Linked DNA regions of Elephas maximus indicus. The protein of the gene in region 1 interacts with the protein of each later gene in a biochemical or structural test. Links are inferred from orthologs where the notes say so. Each region holds a gene or a part of one and is shown on either strand. Other genes may lie near its edges. The genes, in order: SCN8A and FGF14.

The links.
Region 2: the proteins of SCN8A (region 1) and FGF14 form a complex in vitro, tested with the Homo sapiens proteins (2 studies listed by BioGRID). The link is inferred for Elephas maximus indicus from reciprocal best matches to the Homo sapiens genes SCN8A and FGF14.

What each region holds. Positions count from the first base shown.
Region 1 is NC_064822.1:106,989,622-107,000,426, forward strand, and holds the start of SCN8A (sodium channel protein type 8 subunit alpha), read left to right. Parts: upstream 1-6,446; 5' UTR 6,447-6,543; intron 6,544-6,744; exon of another isoform or gene 6,745-6,875; intron 6,876-10,805. UniProt on the Homo sapiens protein: Pore-forming subunit of a voltage-gated sodium channel complex assuming opened or closed conformations in response to the voltage difference across membranes and through which sodium ions selectively pass along their electrochemical gradient.
Region 2 is NC_064841.1:67,319,848-67,330,500, reverse strand, and holds the start of FGF14 (fibroblast growth factor 14), read left to right. Parts: upstream 1-6,277; 5' UTR 6,278-6,979; coding exon 6,980-7,187; intron 7,188-10,653. UniProt on the Homo sapiens protein: Probably involved in nervous system development and function.

The DNA.
Region 1 (10,805 bases):
CTAACAGACTAAAAAAACCCCACATGCAGAAAAAAGCATTTGACAAAATTCAATCCACTCCTGATTAAAACAAACAACCCTTCAGCAAAGTAGGTACAGAAGAGACTTTCTTCAACATGATAAAGTGTATCTAGGAAAGCCTATATAGTTAACATCATGCTTGTGGTGAAATGAGTTCCTTTAGGTGGTCTTTTGCCTTAATTCTTTGGAAAAACAGCTTGAGAAATTTTTCCCCTAAGCCCGGAGAAGTTACCTTTGCTCTAGTTTTCTACCCCAGAGCATTTGTTACTTTTGTCCAGGTTGATTGACATTTCCTGCATAAGCTGTAAACAACTTGTGGGTTGATACATTTTGTATGGTCCTGGGCGGCACCCTGCCCTGTGATTGGTAAGCACCTTGCAGGAACTGGTCAATAGACTATGCAAATTAAGTACTTGTAGCCTACTATGCAAATGAAGTATCTGTGGCCTACTGAGAGGGGATTGGTCAGTTTGTGGCCCCCTGCTGGGCGGGGCCATGCCTTGAAATTGGCAAAGAGTTGTGTATATATGCAGCCAACCCAACAGAGGTTTTTCAGACAGAAAGAAGCAGCAAGAGAAGCAAAAGGAAGAGAAAAGAAGCAGAAAAAGAGAGGAGTCAAGGAACCTTCTAAAGGACTATAACATCTGTCGAGGGCTGTAACACTGAAGACGGTGAGAGGCTCAGAAGTGGCTCAGCAGCAGAGCCAGTGGCAACAGGCCCAGAATGGGCCCAGAGACACAGAGCTGGCAAGAACAGATGGCAGGGCCAAAAGGAGCCTGTCCTGAGGGGGCCAAGAGGAGCCTGTCCTCAGGGGGCAGAGAGAAAGCCTGTCCTGAGTGGGCTGAGAGAAGCCTGCCTAGAGTAGCTGAGAGAACTGTCATGAACTGAAGAAGGGAGACTTTGCCTACATGCTTCCTGAATCTGAGTTGTAGCCTATTGATCCTGATCCTGAGCTGCACCGTGTTACTTACTTAATAAACCACTTAACTGTAAGTATGGTCTGTGAGTTCTGTGTGGCTGTTGCAACGGATTATGAAACCCAGAAGAGAACTAGAGTGCCATGGGAGGGACAGCTGGTGTCAGAATTTGTAAAAAGCTTGGAGAGTAGAGGTATGTCTGACCTCTACTTCATAAGGGATCAGCCTTGGGTTGATCTTGATTCTCATTATCCCCCCTGGAGTTAGACAGGTTCTGGTGATGCTACTATTACTATTCCTGCCATTTTAATGGTGAAAAATGGGAAACTTTCCCCTAAGGTCAGGAGCAAAACAAAGATGTCTGTTTTCGCCACTTCTATTCAACGTTGTACTGAAGGTTCTAGCCAGTACAACAGGCAAGAAAAAGGAGTAAGAGGCATGCAGATTGAAGAAGAAGAAAGAAAACTGTTTATCTGCAGATAACATGGTCTATGTAGAAAATCTTAAGGGATCAACAAAAAAACAAACTAGAACTAATAAATAAATTCACCAAAGCTGCAGATACAAGACCAATATACCAAAATTAATTGTATTTCTATATACTACCATAGGGTTGCTGTGAGTTGCAATTGACTTGATGGCAATGGTTTTTTTATATACTACCAAGGGACCACTGGAAGTTGAAATATAAAAATAATGTCATGGATTGAATTATGTTCCCCCCAAATGTGTGTATCAATTGGGCTGGGCCATGATTCCCCGTATTGTGTGATTTTCCTATATGTTGTAAATCCTGACTCTATGGTGTCAATGAGGGAGGACGGGCAGCAGCTGTGTTAGTGAGGCAGGACTCAACCTACAAGATTGGATTGTGTCTTGAGGCAATCTTTTGAGATACAAAAGAAAGAAGTGAGCAGAGAGTCAGGGGGACCTCATACCACCAAGGAAGCAATGTCAGGAGCTGAGAGCATCCTTTGGACCTGGGGTCCCTGCGCCCGAGAAACTCCTCAACTATGGGAAGATTGTGGATGAGGACCTTCCTCCAGAGCTAATAAACAGTTCCCATCGAGCTGACGCACTGAGTTTGGACTTTTAGCCTACTTTACTGTGAGAGAATAAATTTCTCTTTGTTGAAGCAATGCATTTGTGGTATTTCTGTTATAGCAGCATGAAATGACTAAGACAAATACTATGCAATAGCTTAAGCCATGGTATTTTCAATCCCCTCATAAGCACGCTAAAGCTGGACAACGAATAAGTAAGACTGAAGAAGAATTGATGCCTTTGAATTATGGTGTTGGCAAGAATATTGAATACATCATGGACTGCCAGAAGGACAAAAAAATCTGTCTTGGAAGAAATACAGCCAGAATGCCTTAGAAGCAAGGATGGCAAGACTTTATGTCACGTACTTAGGACATGTTATCAGGAGAGACCAATCCCCGGAGAAAGACAACAACCTATACCTTGGTAGAATAGAGGGTCAGCGAAAAAGAGGAAGTCCCTCAATGAGATGGATTGACACAAATGGCTGCAACAATGGGCTCAAAGATAGCGACAATTGTGAGGATGGTGCAGGACTAGGCAGTGTTTCGTTCTGCTGTATATAGGGTTGCTATGAATCAGAACTGACTTAATGGCACCTAACAACAACAACATGCAATAGCATAAAAATATGAAATATTTAGGAATAAATACCACAAAAGATGGGCAAGACCTGTATTATGGATTGAATTATGCCCTCCCCTGCCCCACAAAGATATGTCGAAGTCCTAAACCTGTATCTGTGAATGTCAATGTTTGGGGAGATAGGGTCTTTCTTTGAGGATATTATCAGTTAAGTCATGCTGGAGTAGGATGGGTCCTAGTTCTAATCCTTTCTGAGTAGTGTCTTATAAAAGGAGAGAACAGACATGGAGAGTTACATTGGGGCAAGACAGACGCCATATGGCAATGAAGGCAGGTACATCTATAAGCAGCAAGGGGACACACAGGACTGCCGGCAGTTAGGAGAGAGGCGTAGGATAGCTTTTCTCTCAAAGTCCTCAGGAGGAATTGACATGGGTAATACCCTGATTTGGGCTTCTAGCCTCCAGAACTATGAGAAAATTAGTTTCTGTTCTTTAAAGCCTCCCACTTTGTGGTATTTTGTTGTGGAAGTCCTAAAAACTAAAACAGTATCCTGAAAATTACAAAACAGCATTGAGAGAAGAAAACTGAAATAAATGAAGTGAAATACTATGTTCATAGAACAGAAGGTTCGATTTTGTTAAGATGTCAGTTCTCCTCAAACTGATCTATAAATTCAATGCAATCTTGATCAAAATTCCAGCAGGCTTTTTTGTGGAATCTGACAAACTGATTCTTAAATTCATATGGAAATGCAAAAGACCTAGAATAGCAAAATCAATAATGAAAAAGAAGAACAAAGTTGGAAGGCTTAAACTTTCTGACTTGACAATTTATTATAAAGCTAGAGTAATCAAGACAGGGTGGTATTAGTGTCAAGACAGACAAAGAGATCAATGAAACAGAATAGAGAGTCTAGAAATAGACCTTTACATACATGGTTAATTGATTTTTGGCAGAAGTACAAGGGTAATCAGTGGAAAAAATGATAGTTTTTTCAACAAACAGTGTGAGAACAACTAGATATCCATGCAGGGGAAAAAAAAAAAACTTCAAACTATACCTCACACCATATATAAAAATTAATTCAAAATGCATTATAAAGCTAAATATAAAACTTAAAACTTCTAGAAGAAAACATAGGAAAAATATTTGTAATCTTGGGTTAGGCAAAAATTTCCTAGATACAACAACAAAAGCATCACCCATTGAAGAAAAAATTAATAAATTGGACGTCATAAAAATTAAGAACTTCTGATATCTGACAGTGTTAAGAGAATAAAAAGACAAGCCCAGACTGGGAAACAGCATTTGCAAATAACATATCTGATAAAAGATGTGTATCCAGAATACATAAACACTCTCACAACTCAATAATAACAAAAGAAACAACCAAATTTTAAAAAGCAGGAAAAGAACAGACACTTCACCCAAGAGGCTTTACAGATGGCAAAAAAGCCAATCAAAACCACGACAGGATAATAATACATACCTATATTTTAAAAAGCCAGTTGCCCTTGAGTAGATTCTGACTCATGGTGACCCCATGTGTTTCAGAGTAGAATTATGCTCCGAAGGGTTTTCAATGATTGATTTTTCAGAATTAGATTACCAGGACTTTGTTCTGAGGAGCCTCTAGGTAGACTTGAATAGCCAACCTTTCAATTAGCAGCCACATGCTTCACTGTTTGCACCACCCAGGGACTCCACAGACTTATTAGAATGGCTAAAATTAAAAAACTGACCATACCAAATGTTGGCGAGGATGTGGAACAAGGGAAACTCACATACACTGCTAGTGGCACAACCACTTGGGAAAGCAGTTCAGCGATTAATATGTTAAATATACATCTACAATAGACCCAGTCATGTCATCCCACTCCTAGATATCTTAACCCTAGAGAAATAAAAGCATATGTCTGTACAAAGACTTGCACGCAACTGTTCCTAGCAGCCTTATTTGTGATAGCCCCTGAACCTGTTGCGGTGGAGATTCCGACTCATAGCAACCCTACAGGACAAAGTAGAACTGCCCCATAGGGTTTGCAAGGAGTGCATGGTAGATTAGAACTGCCGACCTTTTGGTTAGCAGCTGAACTCTTAACCACTACGTCACCAGGGTTTCCTTGTAATAGCCACAAACTGGATATAAGGTAAATGTCATCAACAGGTGAATGGATAAACCAATTGTGGTATCTATAACAGAATACTACTCAGCAACAAAAAGGAATGAAATACTGATAGGCAACAACCAAATAATCTCAAAATAATTATGCTGAATGGAAGAAGCCACACAAGAGAGAGTACATACTGTGTGACTCCATTTTATTCAAAGTTTTGGGAAATGCAAACGAATGTACAGTAATAGAAGATGAGAGGTTGCCTGGAGGAGTGTGTGAGGAAGGGTGATCAGGAAGGGATAACCAAGGGGCAAGAGAAACTTTTGGAGGTAACGGAAATGTTTTCTTACTTTGATCATGATGATAGCTTCACACATGTATACGTATGTAAAAACTGTATGTTCTAAATATGTGCAGTTTGTTGCATGTTAATTGTATTTCAATAAAGCTATTAAAATGTGTGCAGTGGGCTCACTACGTGGTAGGCACATCTTGTTGCAGGAGTTGTTATAAGCATGGGATGGACAGTTATCCTCATAATAAACCCATCAGGTTGGTACTGTGGTTGTTCCTTTTTACAGGTAAGAATGCTTAGGTTGTTACATGTCCAAGGCTAACCAGTTAGTAAGTTGTAGCCTGACGGCTCTTACACTCTTAACTGTGAATTTGTGATAGAAAGAAACATCATGTAGAAGAGAGACACAATAAAGTGCTAAGAGTTCTCACATTAATTTATCTAGATCCTCCTAAGCATGGGAAAGCCTGGTAGCGTAGTGGTTAAGTGCTACAGCTGCTAATCAAAAGGTCAGGAGTTCGAACCTGCCAGGTGCTCCTTGGAAACTCTATGGGGCACTTCTACCCTGCCTTACAGGGTCACTATGAGTCGGAATCGATTCGACAGCAGTGGGTTTGGTTTTGGTCCTAAGAGTGTGAAATAGTTTAAGTCCTTGTTCCATAGAGTTTCCAAGAGGCTCCTGGTGAATTCGAACTGTGTACCTTTTGCAGCCATAGCACTTATCACTACGCCACCAGGGTTTCCTGTGCCTACTTTAGAGATGCACAAACTGAGGTTCAAAAAGATTAAGGCGACCTCAACACAACTTCAGGAAACCCTGGTGGCGTAGTGATTAAGAGCCATGGCTGCTAACCAAAAGGTTGGAAGTTCGAATCCACCAGGTGCTCCTTGGAAACCTTATACGGCAGTTCTACTCTGTCCTATAGGGTCGCTACGAGTCAGAATCTACCGGACGGCAATGGGTTTGGTTTTTGGTTTACACATTTCAGACCCGGCGGCTATCAGGGCTGGGCATGGAAGCAGTGTCTCCCAAATCCTCATACCGGGGTCCTGTCCACTGAATCATAAGCCTCCAACTGCTCTTGATAGACTTCTGTGTCTTTTACTTGGTTAAAGATCATGCAAAATGAGTCCCTGGTGTTTACAGAAGTCAGAAACTCCAACAACTGAGCATTGCCAATAGTACTGGGCATTTCCTTCTGTGAGTGCTATTCAGGAAAAAGGTAATATTTGGCATTTACAAGGGTCACAGAGCTTACGAATCAACATAACACCTTTTTGTTTTAAACGCCCAGGTGCCGGCAGACCAACCGCCGGCGTCTCGCAGCCACGTGCCGGCCGGCCCTCAGTCCCGGAGCCCCTCCCGCGCGGCTCGGCGGGGGCGTCAGGGAGGCGGGCCCGGGGACGCTCGCCAGGCGCTCCAGCGCGGCGCCCCCTGCTGGTGCCCTGCTCCCTCGCCCCGGATCCGGTCCTGGCGGCGCGGGGACGCCGGCCTGAGAGCCTGCGAGCGGGTGGACCGGCGGCGCTCTCCGCTGCGGACGAGCGGACGCGCCCCGCTGGGGTAGGTGGGCCCCGGGGGCGCGGGCGGGGGCGGTGAGCGCGCGGGCGGGGGCCGGGGCGAGCAGGGGGCGCGCACGGAGGGTCCACCGCGCGGGGGCGGAGCGGGCGGGCGGGCGGGGGGCCCGGAGGGCGGGGTGCGCGCGCGGTGGCGCGCGGCGGGCGCGAGTCATCAATTATGCAAGGACTCGGGCGGCGCGGGGGGCGGGCGCGGGGAGCGCTCCAAGATGGCGCCCACCGCAGTCCCGCTCGCCGCAGCCCCGGCGCCTCTGCAGTCCGGCTGCACCTCCCGGGCCCCGCGCTAGGGCCGCCGCTGCCTCCCTCGCCGCAGCTGCCGTAAGTCACCCCGGAGCCCCTGCCCCGGCGCTGCTCCTCGCCTGCCGGCTTCCCCTTCTCGCCCCGGGACCCCTGAGCCGGTCTCGCCCACCTCTAGTCAGGGGCTCTGCCGCAGAGTGCGCGGCGGGGCTCGGAGGGCCATCGGCTTTCTGCCCTCCCTGTTTTGGACAGGTGTTTGGAAGCCTTGGTCTCCCTCTACCTTTTTTACCGGGGACCCCTTAGGATAACTGAGGACCACCAGCCCCCATTCCCTGTAAGTCCTCGCTCTCTTCTTGTCTCGACTACACTGGGGGGCACGGGCCTGGCTTCGGCGCCCCTCGGTGCTGCAACCCCCAGCCCAGCCCCCAGTGCCGAGGGGCTGCATCGGGAAGGGCAGCGCTGTCAGAATGTTCTTACAGCAGCCTCTCAGCTCTGTCCCTTCCCCCATGTCTTACTGCATCCATCTCCCTCATTCGGCTCCAGATTGTTAGCAGCTGCAGAAGCCAGGGGCTCCTGGGTTCTATGGGCAACCAGGAGTCCCCCGTCCTTTACTCGGATGCGCCCGTCCCCCGCCCAGCAGGATGCTCGGGGGCTATGTTGGGGCCCCCCCGCCCCGGGACCTTCCTCGGCAGGCCAGGATTCCTGCATTATAGAATACATACACTTTCAGAATATCCCCTTCCCCCACCCCCACCCCCACCCCTACGCCACCCGATGCGGAGCTTATTCCCCTCCTCCTCTCTCCCTTCCATCCCCCACCTACCAGCAGCAGCAGCAGCAGCAGCAGCAGCAGGAGCACTCTGGGCTTCTTGTTAGCGTTAGGGTTACAGGACTGTTTGTCCAGCTCCACGGGCTTCGACCCCTCCTCTCTAGTCCTCTCTTGGAATCTTGGGGGACCGCAAAGTCTCTGCATTTTGCCTGAGAGCTTTGCTCTATCCCCTCAATGCCAGCAGCAACCACCGGTGGAGACTTGCAGTTAACTTTCGGGGGGCGGGGGTTAGCGAGGACTTTGGGACCCCTTCAGGGGCCCTAGCTTTGAGGAGGGGTGGAGTGGGAGTCGTTTTTCAGCCTGATAAATGTAATTATTCAAATCATGCATTCCTTCCAACTACTCCACCCTATGCCCTCATCTTCACTTACACTGCAGTTTTTGAAGCATGGGAGAAGAATACATTTTCCTTCCGGAGGTTCCAACATTCGGCATAAGTGTTCGTAATAAGAGGATGTCATCTGTTTTTTGGGAGGTGGGGGAAATAGAAGAAACTTTGCAGTTGCATCTGGCTAAATTCAGAGGCAAAAAAAAATTCAGAGGGGGGAGAGATAATTACTACGGATCGAGCCCAACCATACAAGGAGAACTGTTTTTAACACACAGTGGGCACCAGAGAAACGGGGATGAAGCACAAAGTGTGGATGAGGGCTTTGGGGGCAAAGGGAGAGAGTGCTTTTTATAACTGTTTTCTCAAGTTTGAACCTGGAGAGCCTTTAGAGAGTTAAGTGTGTGTCAGGGCTGGGGAATATTTTAGCTTTCCAAGGGGATTCCAGGTAGGCTTTTCACTGTCTCACAATCTCTGTACTTCTCTTTTCTCCATGTGTGTTAGCAGATATGAAGGGGGCTTTACCCCACTCATTAACTTTTTTTTTCCGATGTGTAATGCAAATGGCTGGATAACATTACCACCTGGTACCACCCTGTCAGGAATCTCAGGAGAATAAGACTTAAAATGCTGAAAGCTTTGTAGCACATTGCCTGTAACCTGGTTCTTGAAATACTGCAGCATTTTTTCTTTGGAACTCATGACCCATAAGGCCTTCAGTTCTCTCTGAAAGAGGATTTGATTGCTTGAGAGGGAGGTGGTAATGGTGGTTTGGTGTGCAGCAAGCATTCTCTGTCCTAGAAATTAAAGCTCTCCTTGGAGAGGGCTGCAAGCATGTTCTGTGTTCTCTGAACATCTGATTCATGGTGTATATAAATATGCTATGTTTCTTAGTTGTGGGTATTGCAAAGCAAATCTTGATGTTGCAGGTCAGTTATTGGTTTCCTGGGTTCAGTTTGAGAAAAGAGGCTGACTTAATATGTCTTTGGTTCTTATTTGGGGTTTTGTCGACTTTCAATAAAATATTTGGGAGATTTTACTTTAAGTTAATAAAGGCCAATGAAGTGGAATATGGCATACTGAAACAGCCATGCAATTGCTTGCAGCTTTCCTTTTGGGACCCTTTGCAAAATGTTCTCGTGGCCCAGCTGTGGATGCCTGTGCTTAGGCTCGTGCTAGGGTTTCTGGCCGTAGTGCTGAACGGACAGTTCCCTGGTTAGCACTGTGGTGAGGTGCTCAGTGTTGGACTTGATCTGGGTTTTCCTTTGTTTTTATTACCCGCAGATTTTCCTGTGGATGTGTGTGTGTGTGCATGCGCACTTGGGTTTGTATTTGTGGTTGAAGGCATAGTTATCATATTTTATTACTCCCACATAACTTCATTTTGGCTGTCCCTCATGGAGACAATGTTTTGCAGACTGCAGCAGATCCATATGTAAGTCATACAATGACATTTTGCTGACAGCATTATTTCAGCACATTTCAATAACTTCAAATAGCAGGAAACTGTTAATATTATGGGAATTTTTTCCCCATGAAGAAGTAATTATAATTAGCTCGCTAAATTAAGCTGGGATCAGAAGGGCATCTTTCCTGGGTTGATTTGAACAGTGAGCTGGGAAAGAGGCTCATATAAGAGGCCAGTGTGTGATCCATTGTATCATAAAAGTAGATTTGTCACAAAATTTCTTTTAAAATCATAGAAAGGGGGGCTGTAAAATTGAGCTTGTACAACCACCCACCCAGCACAGGAATCCCTTCTATAGGAAATTTCTGCTTTGAATATTTCCACCGAGAGGGAAGTCACTACCACATAAGACGGATCATTCCATTTGGGGTCCACTGTGATCGAAGCACTTTAATCTCATTTAACATGAAGTTAAAAGACATATCAGTTGGGGCTATACCAGGGGCAAATGTCATTCTTGTGACGATTACCAGGAAAAGGTTGAGAATTGATGTTCTGTAGAGATTACACAAGAAACCCACACCTGCTTGAAGAGAATGCAAAGAGACATGCCCACCTAAAAGCAGGAAAAACATTCCATGAATGGAAGACAATGTCTTTAATGTACTGATATTATGTAACAAGTTGTTCTGGAAGGCACACACATGAATTAATATTTAATTTCTGTAGATTATATCTAACAAAACCAAAAAAACCAAACCCCCTGCCGTTGAGTTGATTCCGACTTATAGCGACCCTGTAGGACAGAGTAGAACTGCCCCATAGAGTTCCCAAGGAGCGCCTGGCGGATTCGAACTGCTGGCTCTTTGGTTAGCAGCCATAGCACTTAACCACTATGCCACCAGGGTTTCCATTTTTTTGGTTTGCATACAAAGTGTTAAAAATAACAAAGTTTATCTAGTGTGAGATCAGTTACCATATTTTTTATAAAAATAACATATACTTCAGAAAATTTTTAATGTGTCTAAAAACAGAGGGAGTCATCCTTAGTATTATCCGTCCTAACCAAAGCAGTTGTTCATGTTTTGTTGTATTTCTTCAGTCTTTTTTGCCATAGAGAGGACAAGAAGCACTTGCAACAAGTTATTCAGAAAGACAGTATTTTAAAACAGAGCCTTTTAAACTCTTAAGCTCATAGTCCACTAGTTAATTGTTTTGGGTCTTAAACAATAGATTATTTTGCATCCATTTACTTTTTTCTTAATCCTTTAAAAAAATTTTCCAAAACAACCATCTTTAATGTCACAGAATTCATTCATAGAATTGGACTCCATAAATTGAATTCGTAAAATTTAAATTTAGCAACTTAACTAGTGAAATAAAAAAAAAAAAAAACTTAATCACTGAATCACCAAATAGTGTCACTTTGCACCTACTTCTATAAAG
Region 2 (10,653 bases), on another chromosome or scaffold:
TCCCCAGAGGACAAAGATTCTAGTGCAACTAGGTTATTTGGCAGGGAATACAGGTAGGTAAGTAGTTGTCATTGATTGAATTGTGCTCCTCAAATATATGTGTTGTAAATCCTAACCTCTATACTTGTTGGAGCCCTGGTGGCGCAGTGGTTAAGCATTCGGCTGCTAACCAAAAGGTCAGCAGTTCAAATCCACCAGCTGCTCCTTGGACACCCTATGGGACAGTTCTGTTCTGTCCTATAGGGTTGCTATGAGTTGAAATCAACTAGATGGCAACAGGGTTCTTTTTTTTTTTTTAATTTTATATCTGTTAATGTAAACTCTTTTGGGAATAGGGTTTTCTTTGTTACCTTAATGACAAAGTGTAGGGTATGTTTGAAACTAATCACTTTTGAGATATAAAAAGAACAGATTAGTCCCAGAAGAAAGCAAGCACAGATGGGGGAAGACAGATGACACAACTCTTGAAAATGGCCAAGGAACTGAGGAACAGAAACTGAAAAGAGCCAAGGACCTTCCCCCAGAGCCTACAGAGAGATAAAGCCTCCCCCTAGAGCCAGTGCCCTGTTACAGCAGCACTAAGAAACTAAGGCAGTAGGGAATTGATACAAGCAAGGGGAGAGAGCCAACAGAGAATGTGTTGTTTAGGCAGCTAACCCAGTGGGAGACTGTATTTTAATCCCTCAGGGAAACCGGGAAAGGATGTAAAACACATGCCTCCTAATTACCCCTCCCAAGGGGCAAGGAACGCAGGGCCTTTAGTCATTGAGGAATTCTCCCAGGGAATGTTAATTTCCAGGTCTTTCTGGCCTCTGTGAGTGCCTGGGCATAGGGTTGTTTGGACGAAAAAATCCCTCAGGTTCAGAGATGGAGATACTGATCAGAGCACACTGATAGGGTAGATAAAAGTGTATGTGTGGGGCATTGAAGATGTCTGCTACCAGCCCCAATAAAGGGTCGGAGAGAGATTGCTCTTCTCATCTGCTTCTCGAAGGCAGGCCTTGGGTACTGTGCCTAACCCAACTCTTCCCATGTAGAGAAAAAGCAGGCAGATGACAAAGAGAAGAGGGGCTGGGCCACCTCAGTTAATTCCTGCTGTCTTGAGAAGTTGGCAGGGGGAAGAGAAAAGGGCTACACTTACCTTCCCAGACTGTTCCTTCCAGGAGAGAGGAGCAGAGGTTTTCTGTGCTACGGGTCAGTCAACGTTGCAACAGGGAGAGAAAGCAGTATAAAAAAATAGTGATGTGAAATTTAGATTTGCTCCTCAAAAAGTGATAATAATTAGCACCAGTTGTAGAGAAGAATGGAAATCCTGGTGGCGTAGTGGTTAAGAGCTACAGCTGCTAATCAAAAGGTTGGAGTTCAAATCCACCAGCTGCTTCTTGGAAACCCTCTGTGGCAGTTTTGCAGCAGTTCTACTCTGACCTATGGGGTCACTATAGAGAAGGAATGTGTGTGCCAGAAACAAAAGTTTTCATCTTTTTTAAACGAGTTAAATATAGACACTGAGGTCCTTGTATACAAGTTGGTCTTCTTTTTGTATTTCTATAGTCCAAACCGTACGGGGCCGTTCTACTCTGTCCTATAGGGTCATTATAAGTCAGAATCCACTTGATGGCAATGGGCTTGGTTTTTATGGTTTGGACTTATGGCGACCCCACACACAATGGAAAGAAATACTGCCCAGTCCTGCGCCATCCTCATGGTTGGTTGGGGATCAGACCGTTGTGATCCATAGGGTTTCCATCCATAGGATTTTCAGAAGTAGATGGCCAGGCCTTTCTTTCTAGTCTGTCCTAGTCTGGAAGCTTTGCTGGAATCTGTTCAGAATCATAGCAATCTGCAAGACTCCACTGAGAGATGAGTGCTGGCTGCACATGAGGTGGAAATCACACTGGATTAAACCTGGTCTCCTGCATGGAAGGCGAGAATTCTACCACTGAACCGTCACTGCCCCCAAAGCTGTGGGTTATAAGTTATATCCTTTTAAAATAAGTAAAAAAAAACCGAGATACAAGTATGTTATTAATACCAGGCCAGTATATAAGATAGTGGAGAGGATGAACCGTTGTATCAAGTTCAGACAAAAATACAGAGGATCAACTAAGATACAAGCTTATTTCCCTGTCACATAGTAGTCCACAGGTAGGTGGGCAGTCCAGGATAAGGGATGGCTCTGTCCAAGGTCCTAGGTTTCTCCTATCTTGACACTTCACAGTTTCTGAGTTTGTGTTTCTGTCCACGCTGTCAATCCCAGTAATTTCCAGCTCACAGGAAGGATGAAAGAGAGAAGCGATAGGCAAGCAACTTCCTCTGAAGAATGTGGCCAGGAAGTTGAACATATCACTTCTGCTACATCTCGCTGGTCATAATTTAGTCACATGGCCACACTTAGCTACCATGGAAGATGGGAATGATATTCTCTACCTTAGAACCCAAGTTCTTGCTCTTCCAGCTGTGGTGGGATAGTGTTTTACTACTAAAGGAAGAAAGGAGGAGTAAGAATTGGGGACAATTGGAGCATGCTAAGATAGTTTCAAAGATTTTTGATGGCTAATCTCATTAGAGTTCACATTTCCTATTTTAAAATAAAATGTATGTTCTATTGTTTCATGAAGTTCTAGTCATTACACTTATTTCTAGCTTGGTTTACTTGCATATGAAGATAATTTTAATTTTTAAATTAATGTGATTATGAGTTTATTTTATTTTAGCCCGTGAAAATGCAGTCTTATATATTTTTCTACTTATATACACTACAAATTTTACTGTCAATTTGTATGGTTACCATGAGGCTTTCCTGATCCTATTTTTACTTTCGTCCATTCTAAAACTTGCATTTACTTTTTAATTGTTTTCATTTCTGTCATCTAATATTGATTTGAATGTGTCATGGCAAAGGGTAAGCAAACGTTTTAATGTCTTCCCAAACAAAACCTGATTGACTGTCTGGAACTCAGGTTGGTGTAAATACAAGTACCTTTGGACCATCCCTAATCTGGAGGCCCCAGAAACTAGGGTTGGCTCTACACCACCCTTGATCTTCTTTATTGTGTAACTATGACTGATACATCTTAATGTCTAGCATGAAATCTCATACAGTTACCATCACATTAAAAAAAAAAAAAAAAACAAACCCATTGCTGTTGAGTCGATTCCAGCTCATAGTGACCCTATAGGACAGGGTAGAACTGCCCCATAGCATTTCCAAGGAGTGGCTCCTGCCTTCAAATGGCCAACCTTTATGGCAGTTCTACTCTGACCTATAGGGCCACTATAGAAAAGGAATACGTGTGTCAGAAACAAAAGATTTCATCTTTTTAAAAGAGGTAAATATAGACAGTGAGGTCCTTGTATACAAGTTGGTGTTCTTTTTCTATCCCTAGTAAAAACCCTACCTTTATTCTGTCCTATAGGGTCCTTATAAGTCAGAATCCACTGACAGCAAAGGGTTAACCACTGCACTTCCGGGGCTCCTACCTTCACATGGTAGAAAGCTTAATAAATATTAATTGAATAAGTGAACTGGGCCACTTAGAACCCATGAGAAATTGTAGGTCCTCTGAACCAAAGGTAACCGGAATTGGTGTTACACACCTTTTCTGGACTGAAATATTACTTTAATAATGTGAATAATAGCCTACAAAACATACCTAAATTTTTCTCTTAAATATGACCCAGACCAGACCCAGTGCCATCGAGTTGATTCCGACTCATAGTGACCCTATAGAACAGAGTAGAACTGCCCCATAGAGTTTCCAAGGAGTGCCTGGCGGATTTGAACTGCCAACCCTTTGGTTAGCAGCCGTAGCACTTAACCACTACGCCTCCAGGATTTTCCCAGTAGGTATATAAAAGGAAATTTTTGCGCATTGCAATAAAATTTTTCTCTTTCCTTTAAGTGGTATAAAAAATAAGAATCAACTAATGCAGTGCCTGGCACAAAAGCTTCTCAATAAATAGTAGTCACAGTTAATTATTGCTTATGTTCTGTAGGTTACAGGACAAAGAGGAAATAAGTTTTCCACCAGTATACTACAAAACAAACCATAGCTTTCTGGCACTCATTCATTATTTTAATAGGCAACTTATTCATTTTCACAATGTAGAAATGAGACAAGAATTTGGGAATGCAAGAATAATTTGACTAAGAAATAGTGTCTTTGGATAAATTTAGCATATAAAAAGACCCAATACTTATAGAACATGATTTAAAGCTTTACTCAGGTGAAATACATCAGGCAACTCAACAAGGCTCACAGAACCCCAGAGCTGGGTGGATACAGTTCAGAAGACCTGAACAGGGGAATAATTTTTATTCAACTGTTTCTCTGGCATATGTATATGTTCAGAAGTAATATGCTGGGATATTCTGGAATCCCCTACAGGACACCAGAATGTTATAGAAGCGGCATATGGTAATTGTCCCTGATTGATTGATATACAAATTCTTTCCCTAATTATTTGGTAATGGTATTCTATTTTTCATCTTTCAGAAAATAATTCTGGTCATTTTTTTTATTCAGTCCACTTCTTATTGGGAAGTCATTTGGCATTAAAGTCATATATTCTCAGCATTCCTTCTTTCTTTACTTCCCAAACTTTAATCAGACTGCAGTGAATTTTAGTAATTTCTTTGAACTGTTCGAAACCCTGGTGGTGTAGTGATTAAGAGCTAGGGCTGCTAACCAAAAAGGTCAGCAGTCCAAATCCACCAGGTGCTCCTTGGAAACTCTATGGGGCAGTTCTACTCTGTCCTATATGGTTGTGATGAGTCGGAATTGACTGAAACAGGTTTTTAAGGTTTTTTTGGTTGGCACAAGTCTTTTGGCACATCAAGACCATCGACATTAGAAGTTCAGCATGCTTTTTAAATACTAGAAAAAGCCATCGATAGGAAAGTTGTTAATTACATTTTCATTTTTTAACATCTGATAATCAAGGAGTTACTTTTCTTTAAAATTATTCTCTTCTCTCAGTCTCCAACAACGTAAATCTACAGCTACATCTATTATAGAGTGGTATGATATGCCATGTAGAAGAGGCAGCGCTTTTAAGATTTGTAATTCAGATGGACTTTCTAAAATATATTTTAAATGAGAGTTAAAATTTTCTTCCAGTTTTCCCATAAAAATGGAAGAATGCTGGTATAACTTTAATTCATTCACCCAGAGTGAGTGAGAATGGTCACCACTGCTTCTCCAAAACCATTGGCTCACAACAGTGCTGGTGTTTAATAATTTTGAGTTTAGATATGCTGGAGTTAATTACAATACTTTTTGTAATAGTTTGCATGACCGTATGCATTGTAATTTTTCCCAAATAAAATAAACCAGTAACTCGGCCCGAAATCCTTTAATTTGGGGGGAAAGCAGTAAAATGGATGTTGGTGAAAATTTTGTTAGGCTATTGGCAGACAACAAGGTTGCAATATTGACATAAATGAGAAGTAAACGAAGGTGAGTTTAATGCTAGTTCAATTAATGGATACAGAAACAAGCAATGAAGTAGGATTTGATTTAAGCCGAGTTCTTTCTGTACAAAATATTTGAAGACAATGGGTAGTTGGACTAGAAAAGGCATATATTTCTCATGTGAATCTGACCCTCCCCACCAAAATAGAGTTGACCCCAACATATTAGTGGTTTCCCTTTAAGCAGGCTGTTTATCGACATAAATATTTGCCATATACCTAGCTTATATTTTTCAAACCACACAGCAAAGTATGATTCAAATAATAAGAATTAAAGGAACTTGCAAGGACTTCCCTTAATGTTTCCGAGGTGCTTTTGAGAATGTAAAGGTGGAATTAATTTTGGCCATGTGGAGTGGTGTTACACTCCAGCTTCTCTTTCTTTTCCCCCAAACATTCATTTTCTAAGGTTTACTGATTATAGTTGTTAATTTTTCTTTCTAAAGCCTCAGCAGAAGGCTCTGTTAGTTTGGCTCCAAGAGGAAACGGCGGGCAGATCCGGGCTTGGCAGAAGAGGGGAGAGGGTCGAGCGCTGGGGCTGGGCTGGGTGCTGGCGGGTGGGGAGCCTGAGAGGCCCGGAGCACAGAGACTGCAGTGACGCTGCCCTCCCCGGGCTGGTTGGAGCATCTCACTGGTGACGGGTCTGAAAGCACGTGGCTACGTCATGGAAAGCCAGTCTTTTCAATGCAAACTTCAACTCCTCCTCCTCCTCCCTCTAATGCCTGTAACTCACAGCCGAGGCTGGCGAGATCCGGAGGGGGATTTTCCTCGTGCTCACCGGTGGTGGAAAGCGGCCGAGGGAGAGGAAGGAGGAAGGGGGTCTGTGGCGCTCTCTGCCAGCCTGCTACCCGCTTAACAAGGGGAGGGGGCACCCAGACTGGCCTCTTTTCTTCGTGGGGATTGAGAACTGCAGGTTCAATCCGATCCTACTCATCACTGGAGATTGATTATTAAAAAAAAAAAAAAAACGACACTTGGAGAAAGGAGGCTCTGTCTTCGGCTGTCAGACTCAGTCTCCGAGGTGGTATTGGTGTGTGTGTGTGTGGTGGCTTTTCTTCCCCCCCCCTTTTTTTCTTTCTTTTTTCTTTCTCCCTTTCTTTTTTCTTTTCTTTTATTCCCCCCTCCTTTTTTTCTTTTTCCTTCTCTCCTAGGGACTACACAATGGCAGCCTTCTCTCAGTAAGATGAGTCCTGCTTTGGCTTCTGCAGATGGACCCATCCTCACAGCGACCAAGTAAAAGGCTATGGTTGTCTCTTTGGGGATCTTTTGTGCATTACTGTTCTCTCTGATTAGTTTTGGCCTCAGTTGGGATTTCTTTGCTTTTTTGTTTGGCTTCATGCTGAAAAAGGATTTTTTTTCCAACCCTTCGGTAATAATCCAGTGGTGATCAAGGGGGATAAGTCATTCACCCTGGCCGAAAAAAAACAATCACTGAGAAGTCTCAAAGAAATATACCACGTGAGGGGAGAAAACTGGGAGAAGATCCGGAATATTACCGTTTTTCCTATGGTAAAACCGGCGCCCCTCTTCAGGAGAACTGATTTCAAATTATTATTATGCAACCACAAGGATCTCTTCTTTCTCAGGGTGTCTAAGCTGCTGGATTGCTTTTCGCCCAAATCCATGTGGTTTCTTTGGAACATTTTCAGCAAAGGAACGCATATGCTGCAGTGTCTTTGTGGCAAGAGTCTTAAGAAAAACAAGAACCCAACTGGTAAGCAAAACATGCCTCATGTTATGTTTTTCCTCATTATAACCTGTCTGTTGCTCATGGAGCTAGCTCTGCAGTTCTGCTATGCAGGCAGGCAGGCAGGGGAAACATAAATGGAACCAGGACCGTGTTGCATATAGAGCTGTTGCATGAATAATCAAGTTACAGCTGGATGGGCGTCTGTGAACCCGAAAACCATTATCAGCATCTCTTGGCTGTGACACAATCCATCACTAGGAGGGAGGAGGAAACTTTTTCTTTTCTTTCTTTCTTTCTTTTTTTTTTTTAATGTATTTGGTTGCCTATGTTCGGTGGAATATTCAAGGGCTATGGCTTAAGGTTTCTGCCCCAGACAGCCGAAGCTTTTGGTAGTTGGCAGGAAGAAGAACCGGAGTTTTCCTGACTTCTGCTGCAGGTTCGGAGACATAGCTCGGTGCTGGGAATCTGCTCTAGACTTTCTGGCTAGCTTGCACAATATTCGCCACCCCGATCACCTTTACCAAAGTAAAAGAGGCCCCCTCCCTCGTGTCCCCGCTCCTCCGTCAGCCCCCGCCTCCCTCCCCCGTCTGGCTCTCTGTGCCCAAGTATTAACTCATTCCCCGGGTCTGCCCCTGACACGTCCTGCTACTGGGAATACTGGAGCAGGGTTTGTGCCCGGAGGGAAACCCAGACCGGGTAGACAAGTCCAGCCCCTCTAATATGTGTAATTTAAATTTTCCTTTTAAAAAGCAGTATCAAAACTGTGCCTCCGGGCCCGGGAGTCCTTGCTTTAGGGTGCGGGTGATCATGCGCCCCGATTCCAAAGGGCTCCAAAGGGGAAACTTGGAGTACATTACATAAGAAATGCAAATACAGGTGATTCGGGGAGTCGGATCCCAGGGGCTCACTTTCCTGTATCGCAGTCTGAAGCGTTTGGGGGCGGCCGCGTAGCGGTGGGAGAGCAAGCCGGGGGAGGGGAGGCGGGAGGACTGCGTGGTGGCGGCGGCGGCGCCGGCGAGGAGCTGGGCGCAGCCTTCCCGGAACCGGCACGCACTGGCAGCGGGCGGCGTGTGGCGCCCCCCCGGCTGCGTCCAGGGTGGGGAGGACCTGGGGCCGAGCGCTGGGGTTTGGGGCTGTACTGGGGGAGGGGACGGTCGGGCGGCCGTCCTGCAGTGGCGGCCCGGGCGCTGGAGGCTCCTGACGCTGGCACTGCGGTGTAGTAGATCATAGCTCTCCGCTGGCTCCCTGACACCCGGAGCCCAGCCGGGGCCGCCTGGCACCCGGAGCCCCAGCGACTGGGCAGCAAGTGGCTGCTGCCTCCCATCCTCCGAGTCTCGCAAATGCCACGTAGCTCGGTGGTGCGCTGGGTGGGGGCTGCCGCCTCGGGGTGCAGCGGGAGGGAGAGGAGGAGGTGTAGGGGGCCGGGGTGCAGGCGGCGGTGTGAAGCCTGGGCACCCTTTGCGGCCACCGCTTCTGCAGCAAAAGGGAAACTGTGAGTTGTTGGACCGTCCAAAAGGACCGAAGCTCGCCGGCTCGGGCGGAGGACGCCTGGCAACGGCCGGAGCTGGAAGCAGCCTCTGCCGCCCGCGGGCCCCGTGCTGCAGTGGGCTCTTGGCCTCTGCCCTGGAATTCTCCTTTGTGTCTAGCTTTCCTCTCCACCGCCTTCCTAGCCATCCTTCTCTGTTCCCTCCTCCTTCCCAGCACCCTGTCCTTTTACCCTTCTCTTTCTTAACTGTCAGCGATTAGCAACTCTGAAATGATACCCTCAGCCTAAGAATTACTCAAGGAGAGAGCAATGTTACCGCCTTACCGTTCACATTTCTAGTGTAGCTGTGAGGTGTACCCCAACGCCTGGCATCAGACCTAGCACTTGCTGATGGCTGGTCATAAAAACCCGGTGTCCATCTATAACGCCATCCTACAACTTACTGTGAGGACCCTTTATTCAAGATTCCCTGAAGTGGGGTTGCAGTTGCAAGGGAGGGGTAACTCCTTCCCAGGACAGAAATACTGGTTTTGGAAGTCTTCTTGAGTCTTTCTGTGAAGAGATCTAGCTCATTCAGAGAAAGAAATACTGTGAAAAACACTTTTTTTTTTTTTTACGCTTGGCCATTTGTCTAGGGACCTTGAGGTCAGTCCTTCCATAGTCCTGGAGAGTGAGAAATAATTCAGCACACAACAGTGAGTTTTTTTGCTGGTCTTTATGGCTTTCTTTCTTTCTTTCTTTGTAAACAGTTTTGCTGGAAACATTAATTTCCCCCTACACATGATCCAAGATCTTTTTATTACACCTCCCCCACCCCACCCACTTTCATCTCTCTGGAAGAAAGCAGATTTCTTTTTTTTCCAAGTCGTTTTGGAAGGTGTCAAACAAATGACAAACTATTCTCAGAGCAATTTATTTTGCAGCTTATGGGTACTAAAGGACTTGGGTGTGAATTGATGGGTTAATTCAAAGTGTGTCTAACAACATCACCAACTCTTCCTAATACAATGGTGTAGCCTTAGAGTGCCAGAGATTAGAATTCTAACTTGAGAGTTGGGACATTTAGTAACTATTTCTTAAATGGGACATTAATGTGTCAGGCAATTTATCTCACCTTCTAAACGTTTTTGCCTCCCAAGCTTGAATCAAACCCATACCTAGCCATCCCCTTTCAGCATTGTACTTGATGAGATCCGTTCCCCTTTTCCTATTAAAATGAAACCTAGAATCGTTTGCAGGTTTTTGATCCCAAGATAGCAGTACAACTAAGACAGTAATTGATTGGGTAATTAAAACACAACAAAGACCAAACTCCTCTTAACTGTTAAAACCAAAAAGAACAGATTGACTGCTACCTATTATGCTATCATAAGTCTAAAAAGGTGACAATTAACTGGTTTCCAACTGCGAGTTGGTAGAATACTGCCAAGTACCACTACTGTGATCATGAACTCGATGTAAAACAACTTACTATTTCAGCGATAAATGCTAGATTAATTTTTCTCCCCGATCTTTGAAAGTTATGGGATAATTTACCAGTTAATCCCAATTCTTTACATTATGGATAAGTATGGGTGGTTTGGACCAAGGTTCCTGGGAGGAACTTCAGAGCACTGCTATATAATCATGTTGGTATGAAAAAATCAAGTAACAGAGTCATGAATTTAAGGGCAAAATTATTCATCCATCCAAAAGTTATTAATTAACTCCAAACCACTTAAGAGGTGTTAATTTGGTTTTTTTTTTGTAGTTGTTTTTTACGTAGTTTAACTAGAAAAGACCTTGAAGAATATATTTGCACAATATATACTTTTTAAAGTAAATTGCAATAGCTTAAAAATCACTGGATGTAAAGTAAATTTGCTATCTTCATAAAAACTTCTGATAACTCAGTTACAATTATTACCAGAGAATACACACACACACACACACACACACACACACACCCATAATTAAATGTCCTACTTTTCCCTGCTTTGCTAGCGGAGCAGTAGCTATGCATTT